2 linked regions of the Lonchura striata genome follow. The protein of the gene in region 2 purifies or fractionates together with the protein of the main gene of each other region. This does not show direct contact. Links are inferred from orthologs where the notes say so. Each region holds a gene or a part of one and is shown on either strand. Other genes may lie near its edges.

Region 1 (7,850 bases), on a different chromosome or scaffold from region 2:
CCTGCAGATCCCAAGAACTCAGCTGAAGCCACAGTGTTCTGGAAAATACCATATTCTGATCATACTTCTGTTTTCCCAGAAATCCATCTCACTATTCACAATTTTCCAGAACTCCTGTCAATTTATTAGCACCATAATCACCAAGAAAAGAAATTACAGCAGAGAATGGATACATTTTGCTGAAAGTGAGAAAGGCAGACCATATAAAGGAGACAGCTGTGTAGGCTTAGCTCAAAACCAGACACTTTGTTTTAGTAATAAAAGCTCTCCTGTCTCCCATAAAATTTATGTTTGTACAAAACTCCGTGTAGATAGGTATTTCATAACTGCTCTCCATGGTTAGAAATAACCACCAAAGCCTTTCAGTCAACACGTTTCTGTGTACATCTTAAAATAGGTCAGCCTAACTTGCACGTAGTAAAAATAAATTAATTAAATTATTATGCAGTTGAGATTCATCATCCATGGTAAACACAGCACAGAAAAACAAGCCTCTCACAACAACAATTAAGTCTTGATTCAACTTTCAAGCCTATTTCAAAATGTCACGGAAGGATTTTTTTTTTTAGAACCTGTAACTCTCTTTGACAGTATCCAATTGAAAATGACTGAACTAAGAGCAAGAAAGGAAACAGATTTGGTTTTGGCTGGGACCAATTTTGGACCCTTCCTGCATCATTTTAACACTCTAGGGAGAAAGAAACCAGTCTTACCAATATCCAAAGACTTGCCCTGCTTTGGGTCAGCCTGAAGCTTGTTGTAGTGTATTGTCACTTCTCCCTGCAGAAAGAGCAAACCCCAAACTGCTGTGCTGGAAGCAGGCAGCAGCGGCTCCCTTTACCCAAGGACAATAAGCTGCCAACTAAGACCCAGAAGCTCCAGTGGTCCCCTCCTACCTCTCACCTTTACCATCTGTATCATCTTGGCCACCTCCACTTTGGTCTTCCCTTTGACGGATTTCCCGTTGACCCCAGTGATTTCATCCCCAGCTGCTACGGTGCCGTCTAAGGCTGCTGGAGTGTTATCGAACACCTGCGAGAGAGCACAGGCAGTCTGCAGGCAGGAGCAGGGCCCACGCAGAGCTACAGAGCACAAACCAAACAGCTGCATTCCTCCCACTTAATTCACTTCTGCTTTGTCCATGGTGAAGCTGCAGTCTTCCCCCTTCCCTAACCAAGAGGTGGGCTGATCATCTTGTTCCCTCAGGAAGTTCTTGCCCCTAAGATGTGCCTCCTCCAGCATAGGATTTCCTGGCAGTGGGAGTGTCACACTGTTCCCCTGTGAATTCTAACATGCTCTCCAAGGAGAAGGACTATTCTAGAAGTCTTAATTTAATTCTTCCACACCTAGTAGCTACTAGAGTAAGGAAAATTTTTCACTGGAAAGTGAGATGTCATCTCCCACAAAAAGCATAGGGCTCTCTTTCCACACTTCTCATCTCTCAGGCCAACACTGTTTTAAAAAGATGGCTTATTTATCCTCCCCAGGTGCCCACCTGGACAATGTAGAGACAGGGGCAGTACTGTGCTCCTCCTCCAATGCTGATCCCAATCAGATTCTGAGAGTCCTTCTTCAGGGTCACTGTCCCAGGTACAGTGGGGATACCCCTACAAAGAGAAAGGAATAACTGAACATAGGCAGAGCTGCCCGCATATGAAACAACTCTGGTATCTGAGTCAGTATAAATGGAGAACATCATGGACATTGCACATCTGAATTCATTCCTTCACTTCTGCCACAGAGCTGGGCCAGCCCAGGAGACTTTCTGTGCCATCTTTTTCTTGGGATTGCATGCAAGGATTACAGGTGGAAGAGACACCCTCATCCATTGCTAGGCACTGAGGAAACACTATCATGCTTTAGTGTTTCACCTGCACTTAGTGCTGGAGTGAGAGGACAACTTGCACAGCATAAATGTGATGCAAATCAAGTGCTCTATGTTAAATGCAAGGCAGTCACTGCAGAGCAATACAACTATTCTCCTCTGCTCACCAGCACAGCAATGCCTCATCCCCACTCTCCAGAGGGAGCAAGAAATCAGTATGGAACAGGAAGGCTGATGTTCAGCACACAGTGTCATACACAGGTAAATTTATCAACTTTCATTAGGTCTTGGCTGCGAAGCTAAATTCTATTATAAGAAACACCAGGAAAAGACAAGAGAAATACTCACAGCTTATCTTCCTCAATATCATAGTCCAAATCTGCAAACATTGTTTTGGTTCAGTGGAATCTGTTTGTCTGAAGCTGTTTATTCCAAACTCCCTGGGAAGAAAGAACAGAATAAACCAAATAAAAGAATGACTGCAATAGGGGAAAAAAAAAAAAAAAAAAAAACAACAAAACAAAACACCAGAGAACAAGCCTGTGACCTTTATCAGTCTCCTTTTTCTTTTTGGAATGCCACATTGTCATCTCTGCTCTTATATCAAAAGATGAAAAACGAGTGAAGTGTTCCTGGTTCTCTGCTGTGCATGCAACAGGATAAAGTCCTCGAGTTTGAATGCTGCACGTCCCAAACCCAAGACTGACACACGTGCACCATTTCCAAAGCACACAACAAAACGTGTTCCCTTCCCGAAGCTGCTCCTCCGCACGCTCGACCTTGCACCACAGCTGCTAAAGACACTCATTTTTATCCCCGACATCCATCGCACACCTCCGTGTCCTGGCCTTCACAGCAAGTCACGTCACTCCCTGACATTCACCGCCTGTCTCGGCAGGCCGTGCTCAGCGAGCCTCCTCACTGCCCCATGCACAAACCTCGCCTCCATTTACTTTCGGGCACTAATTAGCTGGCACCTTTGGCTTCCGCCCACCCTCCCAGCACCCAAGCCACGGTGACGCCGTGAGGGTGGTCGCCTCCACCACGCCCGACCCTGACGGACCGGGGCTTCACCGACAGCTCAGCGTGCCGGGGCCGGGCAGGGGCTGCGGGCAGGGCAGGGCAGGGCTGGGGGCAGCCGCGGGGGCGGCCCTGCGGGCCCCAGGCTCACCGGGAGCGGCCGCGGCGCCGTCAGCCCCCGCCCGCCGCGTCAGCGCCGGCGCCGCCCGGAAGCGCCGCCCCGCCCGCCGCGTTGCCACGGGCACCGGGCGGCCGGGCCTGGCCGAGCGCGGGCTCAGGGCCGCTCTCTGAAACCCCCCCTGCCGCGTGCGGAGCGGGCTCTTCGCCCAGCTGCACCGGGGGAGGTTTGGGTGGGACGTCAGGAGGAATTTCTTCACGGGAGGGATGGTTAGATATCGTAATGGGCTGCCCAGGGAGCTGGTGGAGTCACCGTCCCTGCAGGTGTTTAAGGAGACTGGACACGGCACTCGGTGTGGCGGTCTGGTTGACGTGGTGGTGTTCAGTTGGACTCCGTGGTCTCGGAGGTGTTCTCCAACCTAATTGATTCGGTGATTCTGTGAAATTGCGTGGCACGATCACAATCGGCAGTGACCTGAGGAAGCATCGGATGCCAGCGGATGTGGGAGCCTGTCAGCATGCTGTGTGCAAACCCCCTGCACCGCCGTGTGTGCAGGATCGCCGGGCTTCCACATGTTCTTCTCCTCTGCGATCTATGTGGGGGCACTGGTTGGCTGTTCAAATGGTTTTCCTGCCTCCATCGTGACACCAGCTCTGGGAGAATGCTTTGATTTCCCAGAGAATTGCGGTTGCCTTGTTGCATTATGGATCATCTTTTCCAATTGCTCCTGGCTTCTGAGCAATACCAGGCTTCCAACCCCAACTTACTGACACAGATCAAAAAAAACCCCACAACCCCAACATTGTATTCTTTGAACTGAAAACTCCTCCGTGAGTAGGAGCAAGGGCTGGCCATGGCAGTGACCTCTCCTGCTGGCTGAGAGGCTGGTTAGTGTTTGTGGTATGCAGCCCCTTGAGCCTCTTGTCTGCATACATCAAAACACTGACTGAAGCCACCCACAATGCTGGACTACAAGGGGCAAGAGTGCGTTGTTAATAATCATTTTATAGTCCTGGGTCTAAGATGAGATTTATTTATGAGGGGAAGCTGAATGAGAAATGCAGTCCTTCAGGTGGGAGCTCTGAAGAAAAGAGACTGACATCCTGACCCTGGCCACTGACAGGAGCTTTACATCAGTGAAGCTCCCGAATTGATGAGCCAGACCCTGATCCCTGCATGAAGAGCTTGCTGGGGCTCAGCAGTACAGCAGCACTTGACTGTGGCTGCAGGTGATACAGACAAGACAGACCCAGACTGTTCTGAGCGGTTTTGCACAGCTAAAGACAGGAGGAATGGCTTGCAAGTTGTAGGATGGAATTACAGTGCAAGGAAAGGAATAAAAATCACTGTGAGGGTGGGTAAGCACTGCTACATCAGCCCAGAGAGGTGGTGGAACATCCATCCCTGGAGACAGTGGCAATTAGCAGGACAGATTCTGTGATGCTGCGGTCCTGAGAGAGGCCCCGGGGGTTGGCAGGGTCGGGGCCGTGTGTCCCGCGCTGTCCCCGCGCTGTCGCCGCTGGGGGTGGCAGGGTCGGGGCCGTGTGTCCCGCGCTGTCCCCGCGCTGTCGCCCCCGGGGGTGGCAGGGTCGCCCCCGGCCAGGCTCTATTTCTAAATTTGGAGCGCCACCGTGTGGTCCTGCTGCAGGAGGGGGCCTGGATTCAGGGTGTGCGGAGGTGGGATATTTATCCTATTTTACTGCAAAAGGGGGAAAAAGAGGTTTTCCACACAGGTTTTTCACACACAGAACACCTGCATAATGTGAATCCTTTCATTGCGCCAAAGGGGATTTCTCAGAGCCTTGTGGATTGTCTGGGCATCAGACTGTTTAAAAGAAGTTGCAGGACCTCATTTCTCCTGCTGTCTGCTTCTGCTACTAGAGCTGCAAGAGAGATGAACAAGCAGTGAATGTTTCCTTTGCTGGCATCTTCTGCCGTTCAAAATAAAGACAATAAGCAGAACTCACCCGAGGTGGAAAACACTGACAAGGCCAAAACCTGTAGGTCTGATGAGCCTTGTTTTTTGCTGCTCCAGCGAAGTGTGCGCATTGTGCGTGTCCTTCAGTACATCCCTGAAGCATCAGCCTTTGTACACGTATGCGGGCTGACCCTGCCTTTTGTGCACAGCTGCCACAAAGTGTCCAAGATCGATTGGATTCTCTCTGTGTGACATGGAGAATGAATCTGCATGTGCCCTAAAGCCATGTCTGTCTCAATAGTAGAAATCCATTGCCTGATTGCTTCCTCCCAAGGGGAGAAGTAATGAATTGCTAATGAAAATGGTTGCCTAAAATCCAAAAAAGTAAGGTTAGCCAGCATTTTTAAAAAATCCCAGGAAGCTGTTCATTTTCAAGAATAGATCTGATTAATTGTATCAAAAATTTGAAATGCAGCTTTCTCTTGAAAATTGCGTGCACTGCAGTCTACCAATATGGCTTTAATCAAGATGGCTTAGTTTGCACATTAGATTTTTCTAACCCCCAAGTATACAATCCATGAAAAGTTTGACTCTGAGAGTCAAAACTCCGTTCTGCTTGTCTTTCGTTAGGTGTAATAAAGAGTCTGCTAGCAGATCACACATTGCATGACTGGTTAGTTTCTTGGCACTCAGATGTATTTCTGCGTACTGGAGCTGTGCTGAATCTCATGTTTCTGGCTGCTTTTCTGCTACTGTTTTCAGTGTCAACATGACTAACTCTGGACTAACATCCTCCTTGATTGCTGTCCCTTGAGCCACGTTGTCTGTTTTTGGGGGAACTTTCAGTGAGTAAGTGTTGAGGTTGTATTCTCTGCCCATCACTGCACAGCCTGCCCTATCCCTACCCCATTCCTGCTGGGTGTTGCCAAGACTTGCAGCAGCCTCTATAGGGGCAGCTAGGACATGGCCCTGTTGGGGTGGAATAGGGGACTGCTTTCACTGGGTGTTTTCATTGTTCTTCCTCTGAAGTTCCCTTCATTTAGGATTCTCCAAGGTTTATCCAGAGGGAAGCTGGGGGAAATGGACAATGCTCCATAGTAGGTGCATTGTATTTCCACATACACCAAACATGTTTCAGTGCCCCTGGACTTCATCCCCACAGATTTCTTCTCCCAGACAAGGAGATAGGTCTCAGGGGCATCTGGTGCAGCTGTTACTTCTATGAAAGCATTACTCCCAAAATCAGTACTCGCAACATGAAAAACCTTAAAGGCAACTTAAAACCTCATGGGTTTTCTGAGACCCTGCAGGTGGAAAGCATGAGCTCTGACTTGGCTGCTAAGTTTTGCTTTGTAAGGCTATACTTTTATCCTTTCCAATCCAGGGGCATGACTACACTCTATTGCACAGCCCAGGGGCACTACTGGTCTGGCAAGGTGCTATCAAAGCTTGTGGTCCTTGGGATGAGCCCTTGGGATGTTGAGCTCCACAGCAGAATAGTGACAGGGCATATGGGGGACTACATCTCATGAGCAGTAGCAGAGTGAGGGGTGGGAAACAGGCAGAGACTTGCTCTCATTATGCATGGGTCTAACATGCCCAATTACCCCATCCTCTCCTCACCTCTGCAATGTAAAAGACTGTTGTTGAGAGTGGTCATAACTCATGGTGAACACCCTGCCTCCCCCTTACTCCTTTCACACCCACTGCTCTCCATTTTCCTTCCAGAAAAAAAATGTGTCTTTGATGAAATGAAATGGCTCAGTCAAAGAACCCCTCAAATGCTTGGGGACCCCTGCAGTTGGCCACCCTTGCCCACTTCCCAGCTCTATTTCTGGCCGAGTTTGGAGTTTAAGTGGGCTGACCTTGTGCCCTGCCTGCCCTGGGGGTCAGTGATGAAAGCGGATGGAGGCTTCACAGTCAGGTCTCTTGTGTGTGACTCTTTTGTTCCCAGGACAAGGGTGTGCAGTGCCTGGGACAGTACTTAATTGTTTGGGGGCACTGCTTTACCCGTCATGCCCTTCCCCGGGTGGCCCCAGCCCTTCTTGCTCATGCGTGGGAGGAAGGCAGCTTCCCCACTCAGGGTAAGGAGGAGGAAGCAGAGTCTGGATTGCTCGAGATAATTTCTGGCTATTTATCAATCTTTGTCATAAAGTTTGCAGAGTGCCAGAAAGCAGAAAGAGAAATAAAGAAAAAGGACTTCTCCATTTTGTGACTCCTGTCTGTCACTGGGTGTATCCTCCATTGTCCTTCTGTGCAGACAAGAGCAACATCACCTTGTCGCAGCCAGCTCCTGTCCATCCACTGTGCTCCATGGGATTCACCCCATCACTGAGACCTCCTTCTGCCCTTCTACAGATGTTTAATGAGGAAAGTCCTGCATCAGGCCTGAGTCATTTGGCTTAGTCCAAGTGGAGGCAATAGGTTCACACCAGGGAGGGCAGAAACTTTGTATTGATCTTGTGGGTGTGCAAGCCCAGGGCTGGATATATTGAGACTTCTGGAAAATTTTTTGTTTGTTTTTGTTTGTTTGTTTGTTTGATTGATTGATTGATTGATTGATTGATTGATTGATTTTCTTTTGCTAGATCTGAGGTGGCCACTACACCTGTCACGGCCCTGAAGACATGCAGAGGAGTAGTAGGTTTTCTGTAGGTGTGCTTGGGCAGGGGAAGTATGCTGGACAATCTGTGGGCATGATGATACAGAATTGAAGGTTTACAAAGCCTTGTCCAGTGGAGGTGGGTCAGCAGAGCTCAGCACAATCATGAAGGAAGCCTTGTACCACTCAATACTTCTTTGGCTGCCTCATTAGCATATTTCTTTTCACAACAGGTCCTTCTTCTGTGCTTCACATCTTCATTAGAGCTGGAGACTGGGGCAGGAACCTCCACAGCAGGCCCTCCCTCTGCCATTTTGGGGAGTGACTGTGCAGAGGAAATGGATAAAAGGAGCCCAGGGTCAGGGTT
Region 2 (7,711 bases):
GCCACCTCGTACGCTTTCTTCTGCTCGATCGTCTCATAGTTCAGGGCTTCAAAGAAGATATCCAGCACCAGGATGTTCTCCCTGTGCAGGAGAGAAGTGGCATCAGGCTGAGGTTTGGGATGGAAGCACCAGACCCGGCCCCATCACCCCGCAGCACCTTACCCAATGTACTGCTCCGACTTGTTGTACTTCTTGGCCAGGTACTTGGCCGAGGCCTTGCTGGGGATCTTGACCATGGAGAGCTCTTTGCCGTAGCGGGTCATGTTGCAGGGCATCTCACAGATGCAGTATTCATTGTCCTTCTCCACCAGGAAATCTGTGCGGGGAGAGAGGGGGATGACGAGATGGAGAAACCCAACACCGCGGCTCCGTCCCACCCACGGGGCCGGGCAGCCTCACCTAAGGCCGGGTCCGCGCACTCCTTGTACTGCTCCGGGGTGCAGTAAGGGGCATCGCCTGGGGAGACACAGAGCACGTTTTGCAGGTGGGAGCACACCGGAGGGCTGGGTCGGGGCCAGGCCAGGCACGGGGCTCACCTGGCATGTGCACCATGCGGCAGTTGCAGTTCTCCACCAGGTAGCGGGTCTCGCAGTCGATCCGGCAGGCCGTGATGCTGTAGGTGTCGTAGAACTCCGAGTCGCCCGCCACGGCCTTGCAGTCGCCCCAGGGAGGCGGCAGGTAGATGAGCTGCAAGGGGAAAGAAGCCAGGAGTGAGGAGAGAACCCCCCTCAGTGTGGCAGGGGACAGAGACCCTCGTGGCACTGCTCCCCAGGACCGGGTCCTCCCCTCCATCGGCATGGGGACAGGGGCACAGTGAGGAGACTCTGCTCCTGCAACTCAGGCTGGGAGGGACGTCCCACACCTGCCCAGTTCCTACCCGTTGCTCCTGGCAGGACACGAAGGTCTGGAAGCCGGGAGCCACCCCGAAGCCCAGCTGGTCGATCAGCGGGGGCTCGTCCTGGCTGTGGATCTGCACCTTGATCCCAGCTTCGAACGAGGTCTCATCTGTGGCAGAGAGAAGGGAGGTGAGCACAGCACTGTCCCTGCTCTAAGGGGCTGTGCTGAGCCTGCCGTGAGAGGGACCACAACTTCTGCCTCCCAAGCTTCCCCTGGGCCAAGTCATTCATCCACATGGCCATCCATCTGTCCCTCTGTTTGCTGCACCATGTCCTTGCCCGCTCCGCCCCGACCCCCCTGCTCCACACCCAGGAGCGTGGCAGGGAAAGTATTTGACTCTATTTATAAACAAGTGATGGCTGCGTGTCTAAATGATGGGGAGTTGCCATGGCAAAGAGCAAAGACAAAGAGGAAAAGGGAAAGAAAAGACCAGAAGTGATGAGAAATGGAAGGAGGGAGAGAAGGGAGCTTCAGGGAGGTGGATCTGTGGTCTGGGGAGCTGGGAAGGGGCTGGGGAGGTGAGTAGGGGCTGGGCAGCACCCCAGGAGCTGCTGGTGGCTGAGTGGGCCCACTGGGGCAGTGGGTTACCTGTTTCCCCCCACACTGGCAGGTACTCGTCCTGCTGGATGTCCAGCATGATCTCCAGGCCGTTGCCAGTGCCCCCCTTCATGGTGATGAGCCGGGGCTTCCCGTCCTGCCCCGCATTGAAGGTGTAGCACTTCCCATAGCGGGTGAAGACCTGCAGGAGAGGACACAGGGCTGAGGCTGAGGCCCCTCTGTGTGCAGCCACAGCACAGAGCCAGGAGAGCGTCCCCAACCCCAAAACTCAGCCATCCCAGCCTGGGCATGGTCCGACCCAGGCTCCTGACCCACAGCATCTCTCAGTGTTGGAACTGCTCATCTTGGCCCTGGTGGAGGAGGAGATGTTCCCACAGGGATGGACTCAGAAGGGATTTACAGAGAGCCCACGGCAGCTGTGGCTCCCCAGGGTGGTGGCACTCAGCCTGACGCCCTTCTCCAAGCCCTCCTCCATCCCTGCAAAGGATGGGGCTGGACAGGATCCTGGACCCCCCCATCCCTGCTCAGCCGTTCCAGCTCTCACCTCCGGCAGTCAGCACGGCCCCAAAACCACGGAGCTGCTGCCAGCCTGGGCAAGGGACATGTGAGGGCAGTGGGCTCGCACCACATGGTGCCCCACAAGCCCTGATGGCAGCAGGATGGAGGTGCCAGGCACTTCCTCAGCAAGCACAGCCCCGGGGATACGCTCCATGTCCCACCAGAGCATCTCCACAGCCGGTGCCGTCCCCAGCTCTGGCAGATGGGGCTGAAATATCAGCCTGTCCCTGAGCAAGCTCCAAGGGCAGCATCACCTGCCTGATCTGGCACCGATCAGCGCCGGAGCTGCTCCCCGTGCCGGGCCACCCTGGGGCTACTCACCGGCGCAAAGTCCCCGGGGCCGCAGCGCTGGCCGCGGTAGCTGCAGCTCAGCAGCATGTCCTCCAGCTGGTGGCAAGTGCGGTTAAAAAACCCGTACAAATTTAGGGGCTCGTCCTCCTCCCAGGGGCCGGGCTGGGCCGGGGTGAAGCCCAGCTCCATCCCAGGCTCATAGTCCACCAGAGGGGCCAGGTAGAGCAAGTCCTCGTGGCTGAGCTGCGAGAGCCGCACACGGTTGATGTTGCAGAAGGTGACTGCGGGGAAGGTCATCTCGGGGCTGTCCTCCTCGCTGAGCAGCGTGACGTGGTGGTACTCCAGGTAGTAGGCGATGCGGTCGGCCACCTGGTAGAGGAAGACGGAGAGGGAGAGGAGGAATGCCAGCGCCCACAGTGCCTGCCGGGCACCCAGGCTGCCTTCCACGAAGATGTGGCTCAGCCCATGCAGGGTGCAGCTGCTGGCAAAGGCCACGAAGTCCGTGGCTGCTCCTGCGTCCTCCTCGTCCTCTTCATCCTCCTCCTGCCCATACAGGAACTCGTCTGCTTCATCTTCTCCCTTCGCAGTGGCTGCAGCATCTTCTGGTGCTTCCTCGCTGGAGAAGGAGATGGTGCAGAATATCTGGAGAGGCATTGCCCAGCCTGGGGGTCCCAGCTGTGGAGGTCCTGGCTCTGGTGTGGGGGTCTTGGCCCGCGCCCTGCCCCAGCCTGGGGTCTTCAGTCAGTTCCTCGGTGGAGAGGGGCTGAGGAGAGCAGGGGAGGGGGAAGGGGCAAGTTGAGAGAGGAGAAACGGAGAAGGGAAAGGCGAGCGGGAGTGAGGGAGAGGAGCAGAGGGATGCTCGGAGGGGCCGGAGCGAGGAGGGTATATCAGGAGCAGGAGGGGAGGAGGAGCGAGGGGCGGTTCCGCGGGCTCCCCAGGCCCCTCGGGACCGGCCGGCTCCGGCTGCCAGGAGGGAGCAGGGACATCACCGGCTCCAGAAGCACCGTGGGAGCTCCCAGTGCTGCCTGGGCGCCCGAGGGGCACACGGTGTGTGCCGGCGGGCAGGTACCCGGCGCTGCATCCCCATGCCGTGCCCTCCATCCTTGAGTGGTCTGGCCCTGGCAGCCCAAGCGGCTGCTCCAGCCAGGCCCTCCCTGCTGGGTCCCGGCTGTCTCCAGAGCCGCCGTATGCCAGGCTCTCTGCAGTCATCCCCAGGGCAGCTGGAGCCAGAGGTTTTCCCCAAATGCCCGTGACACTGTCCTGGTTCAGCGGTGGTCCGCGTGGGGGGAAGGATGCTGTGGTGTCCTCAGGCTCCTACGATGCTCCTCCTGCCCTGGCAGTGCCCATCCCTGCAGGCTCGTCCCCCTGTGCCGCAGGGCACCGGCGTGTGCATGTGAGAATCCAGCAAATGCGGCGTTCCCAGTGGTGTGAGGTCTGTCCTCCTCCCAGCAGGGCTGGTCTTCACAGGGTTTGGGTGCTGTCCAGGCAACGAGTCCTTCTGCAGAGCCCAGTCAGTGCTGGGCACGTCGCCTCATGCTTTGGATCCCAGTGGGGCATGGGGAGCCCCTCTTCCCTCAAGGAATGGCCTCCAGGCCCCGTGCTGCTGAACCAGCCAGGCTGGGGGGTCCCAGGGAGCAGCTCTGGTGCAGGACGCTGGGATGGAGCTGCTGGGAGTGCAGGCGTCTCCTCTCTGCACAGCACAGCCCCTTCTCGTGGTTTGCTGCTTTCCTGTACTCAGCACTTCATAAAAGCATCCAGAGACCACAGAGCAATCTCCAGCCCCATCCCGGCACCGGGGGAGAATCTAAATCCAGCAGCACTTGGAAGTGCAGGGGCTGGATGGGAGCTTTGGGCTGGTGCCTGGGTGGAAGAAGTTCACCCCAAGCCCTCAGTTCAGCTGCTGCATCTCCTTCCCTGCAGAGTTCCTGGACCCTGAGCACATCCCAGCGCACGTGGACACCACAAACTGGGAGAACAAATCCGCCAGGAACTCAGTAAAAATCTGATCTGATACCAGCACAGTTATCTGAGATTCCTGGGCAGGTGGTGCCAGTGGAACATGCTGGGGATCCCTGCCAGGGGCAGTGATCCATGATGTGACAGTGGGGTGTCCCATCCTGGGGCTCCCTGAGCTCAATGTTCCCTTCAATCGGGCCCTTGTGAAAGAGGGACACTGCCAGATGCCACTTGGAGACCTGGGGGAAAGAATGGATGACCTTGGGGATGAGTACCAGAGGCACGGGATGAAATTTCATCAGGCCAAGATCAAGGTTACACCCTTTGGGAGCATCCCAGAGAATCTGAGAGGAAAACTCTTCCTAGAAAAGAGAATCAGGAAGGTGGATTGGGTGGCTGGGAGCCACCAGAACATGGGGCCGGGTCTCAGGTGCCCTGTGTCTTCGGTGGGGATGAGCTGCAGCTGCAGGGCAGGGCTGTAACAGCATCAGGAGGGGCTTTGGAAGAGTTGGGCTGGCTCAGCCCTGTGGGAACACTGGGCTGATCCCACACAAGCTGGCTCAGAGGATGCTTGGGACAGGGAGGAGCAGGCAGGAGCTCTCCGGGTTTGGGCTGGGATTTCTGCTGCTCCCAGCTCTGGCACTGGGTTCCTGTGCCACGGCTGTTGAGGGCAGAGGAAAAGGGAAAAGGAATTGAGGAACTGCAGGTTGAGGGGGTTGTTGAGCCCCGGCAGGGCTCGCACAGGTGAGCGGAGCTGCCGAGGCCATCAGGCAGTCCCTGACGGTGCGAGCGAGGGGCGGATCCGCTCCCTCGGCGCGGGGAGGTTTAATGTGTCTTCTCGGGAGCGATTGCAGCAGGGAGAGAGCGAGAAAGATGCCGTAATGAAAACATTCCATCATCGACTGGGGCCATTAACCTGCTTCGCTCGGCTTCAACAGCTCGCGGGGTGCGCCGGGCTGGTTCCCAGCAGCAGGGCCCGGCTCCGGTTACCGCCGCCTGTCCCGGCGCCGACACCCGAGCCGGGGTGAAGGTGACCGGGGACAGCCGCAGCCCGGAGCACGGCGGCACCAGCGCCGAGGGGAGCGCGTCCCGACCCCCAGACTGGGGACAAAGTGCAGCCGTGTGCTGCAGCCAGGGGGGTGCCGTCCTGGTTTGTGCGAGTTTTGGAGATGCTGGAGGAGTCCTTGGGCTCGTTCCAGCTCCTCCCTCGCCGGGAGTTATTTTTACCCTCTCTCAGGTAAAGCTTTGGCGGGGGCGAGGGACGGGGGATGCTATAATTAGCCGTGACATCAGCCCCCGTGGCGGTGCTGGGGTGATGCCGCCACGCCCGAGCCGGCGCTGGGACCGGGGATGCTCCGTGCCCTCCTCCCCGCCCCAGTGAGAGGTGCGGGATGGGAGGAGGAGATGGGTTTTTCCTGCCTCCAGCGCCGTGTTTGGCCACTGTCCCGGGGCGGTTCGGCCCCGCTCGCTGCTCTGCAGCTCCTCACGGGCCTGGGAAAGGAGGTTTCCCGGAGCGGGGGAGCACGGAGGCGGCGGGGGGGAAGCGGGAGCGGGATTTGACGGCAGCAACAGCACATTTCACAGCCTGTCACGCTTTAATGGCAGAGGAGATCAAAGCCGGGATGGAGTTATTCATAGAGATAAACCAATCCCCGAGGAGGCGAGGAGAAAACAACATTGCAAGCTCTGTTATCCCAGGTCTCCGAGCCCCGGGGATGCTGTCGCCGAAAGCGCCCCGGGAGCTGGACCCGCTCGGTTTTGTGACGGGCACTGCCCGTCCCTGCCAAAGACTGGCTGAGCCGAGGCTGAGCTGCCCACGTTGTCCCTGGGGGTGCTCCAGAGGTCGGAGCTGGCTGCTAGGAAGGGATGGGATGAGCGGTGGGATGAGGCAGCCAAAGCAGCGCATGGGAATGGACATTTGGGGCAGATGGAGACCCCACAGCTGGGCTGTCCTGCTCCCACACGCACCCGGGTGTGCAAACTGAAAGGGAGAAAAATGAGGTTTTCCAGTTGTCTTGGCCCAGGGATGTGCTTTGCAGCTCCCAGAGCTGCCAAGATGGTGCTGGAGGCACCGGCAGCGCTGCCACCGCCGCTCCGGGCGGGATGAGCCGCTCTGGGACAGCTCCAGTGCTGCAGATCCCTCCCTGACCCTGGCGAGAGACAGAGCAGAGGCAGCCAAGCAAGGTGGGATTGCCTGGGCAGGCGGGATCTGTGCCGGGACTAATCCTGCACCCCTTATCAGATGCTGCCACCTTGCCTCGGCTCGCTCTGCCAGCCAAGCCGGGCGCAGCTTGTGTTATCCGGCCCTTTATCCCCCAGATTAGACGCTTCACAGTGGATTAGCATGTCACATTCTAATGCAGAAAAATTGATGATTAAAAAGGAGTTTTTCCCTCTGTATTATTCTCCACCTCCGCCTCCTCTCCACCCAGTCCCTGCAGGGCCACCAGCCCCAGCCGCGGGCACCGGTGATGCCGCGGCGCTGGGTGATGCCAGAATCGCGTCCCTGGATCAAACGGGACGGGAGACAGGAAAGCGAAGGTGCCTTTTTCACGCTGCATCCCGGCTGCTTCAAGTGGCGGGGTCCGGTACTCCAGGTGCCCGTGCCATTGCAGCCCCGTGTTCCCAGCTGCAGACTCAGCACCTGCAGCACAGGACTTTAATAAAAAGCACATTATAGTGAGTAATGTGCTAAGTGGACTTCATTAGAGAGCCAGGGCCTCCCTGGATCCCGTTGCTCCATATGATTTCATATCAGATGAGCCTTATCTCCTCTCCAAACGCTTCCATTTAAACTCTATTAATCTCTCGAAGCTTTCCTGGGCGAGCTCTTCCCAGCCAGCCCTGCTGGGTGTCGGTGCTGCTGCCCCGGGGACTGAGGCCACCTGCAGCCACGCTGGCCGGGGGTCTCGGGGGGCTCAGCCGGGACCCCCCTGCAGCTCCGTGGGTGAGGGTCTTGGGGGGCTCAGCCAGGGCAGCTCCATGGGCAGTCCAGCGTGTCCCTGGAGCCTTGGCGATGATCCGCCGTGACGGCTCCGCAGCCGCCGCATCCTCCTCCCCAGGATCTGTTTACGCTCCTATAATTGAACCTGTTTGTACTGCTGAGAGCTTCACGGTGATTTACCCGCTGGCCGTGTCCCTGTGTGCCGTGCAGGGGTCACCAGGACTCTGCCAGGACGCGGAGGACGCTGCCGAGGTGTCGCTAATTCCCGCGCATCCGGGATTATTCCTGCGGACCCTTATCCCGACGCCTCCCCGTGTTTCCTGCCGCTCACGAATCACCCGCAAGCAGGTTGCGATTTTTTCCGACATCCTTCACAATCGCTCAGACAGTTCATGCAGGCAGATTTGAGCCGGCGGTTTTATTGGACGGGGGAAAAGCCCACGGTGTTCCGGTCTGGTTTCCTTGCTGTGCTCGCTCGCTCCGGCTCCGCACGTATCACGCTTTTCA

Evidence for each region.
Region 1: the proteins of ASIC1 (region 2) and PICK1 purify together in Homo sapiens (affinity purification with western blotting; 3 studies listed by BioGRID and IntAct, with this or other methods). This does not show direct contact. The link is inferred for Lonchura striata from reciprocal best matches to the Homo sapiens genes ASIC1 and PICK1.

Annotation. Positions count from the first base shown.
Region 1 is NC_134607.1:23,618,985-23,626,834, reverse strand, and holds the start of PICK1 (PRKCA-binding protein), read right to left. Parts: upstream 3,044-7,850; 5' UTR 2,997-3,043; intron 2,993-2,996; exon of another isoform or gene 2,889-2,992; intron 2,887-2,888; exon of another isoform or gene 2,803-2,886; intron 2,771-2,802; exon of another isoform or gene 2,660-2,770; intron 2,649-2,659; exon of another isoform or gene 2,373-2,648; intron 2,266-2,372; 5' UTR 2,215-2,265; coding exon 2,174-2,214; intron 1,608-2,173; coding exon 1,496-1,607; intron 1,033-1,495; coding exon 904-1,032; intron 781-903; coding exon 714-780; intron 1-713. UniProt on the Homo sapiens protein: Probable adapter protein that bind to and organize the subcellular localization of a variety of membrane proteins containing some PDZ recognition sequence.
Region 2 is NC_134629.1:8,787,289-8,794,999, reverse strand, and holds the start of ASIC1 (acid-sensing ion channel 1), read right to left. Parts: upstream 3,182-7,711; 5' UTR 2,959-3,181; coding exon 2,335-2,958; intron 1,637-2,334; coding exon 1,486-1,636; intron 1,006-1,485; coding exon 878-1,005; intron 688-877; coding exon 537-687; intron 457-536; coding exon 400-456; intron 317-399; coding exon 163-316; intron 82-162; coding exon 1-81. UniProt on the Homo sapiens protein: Forms voltage-independent, pH-gated trimeric sodium channels that act as postsynaptic excitatory receptors in the nervous system, playing a crucial role in regulating synaptic plasticity, learning, and memory.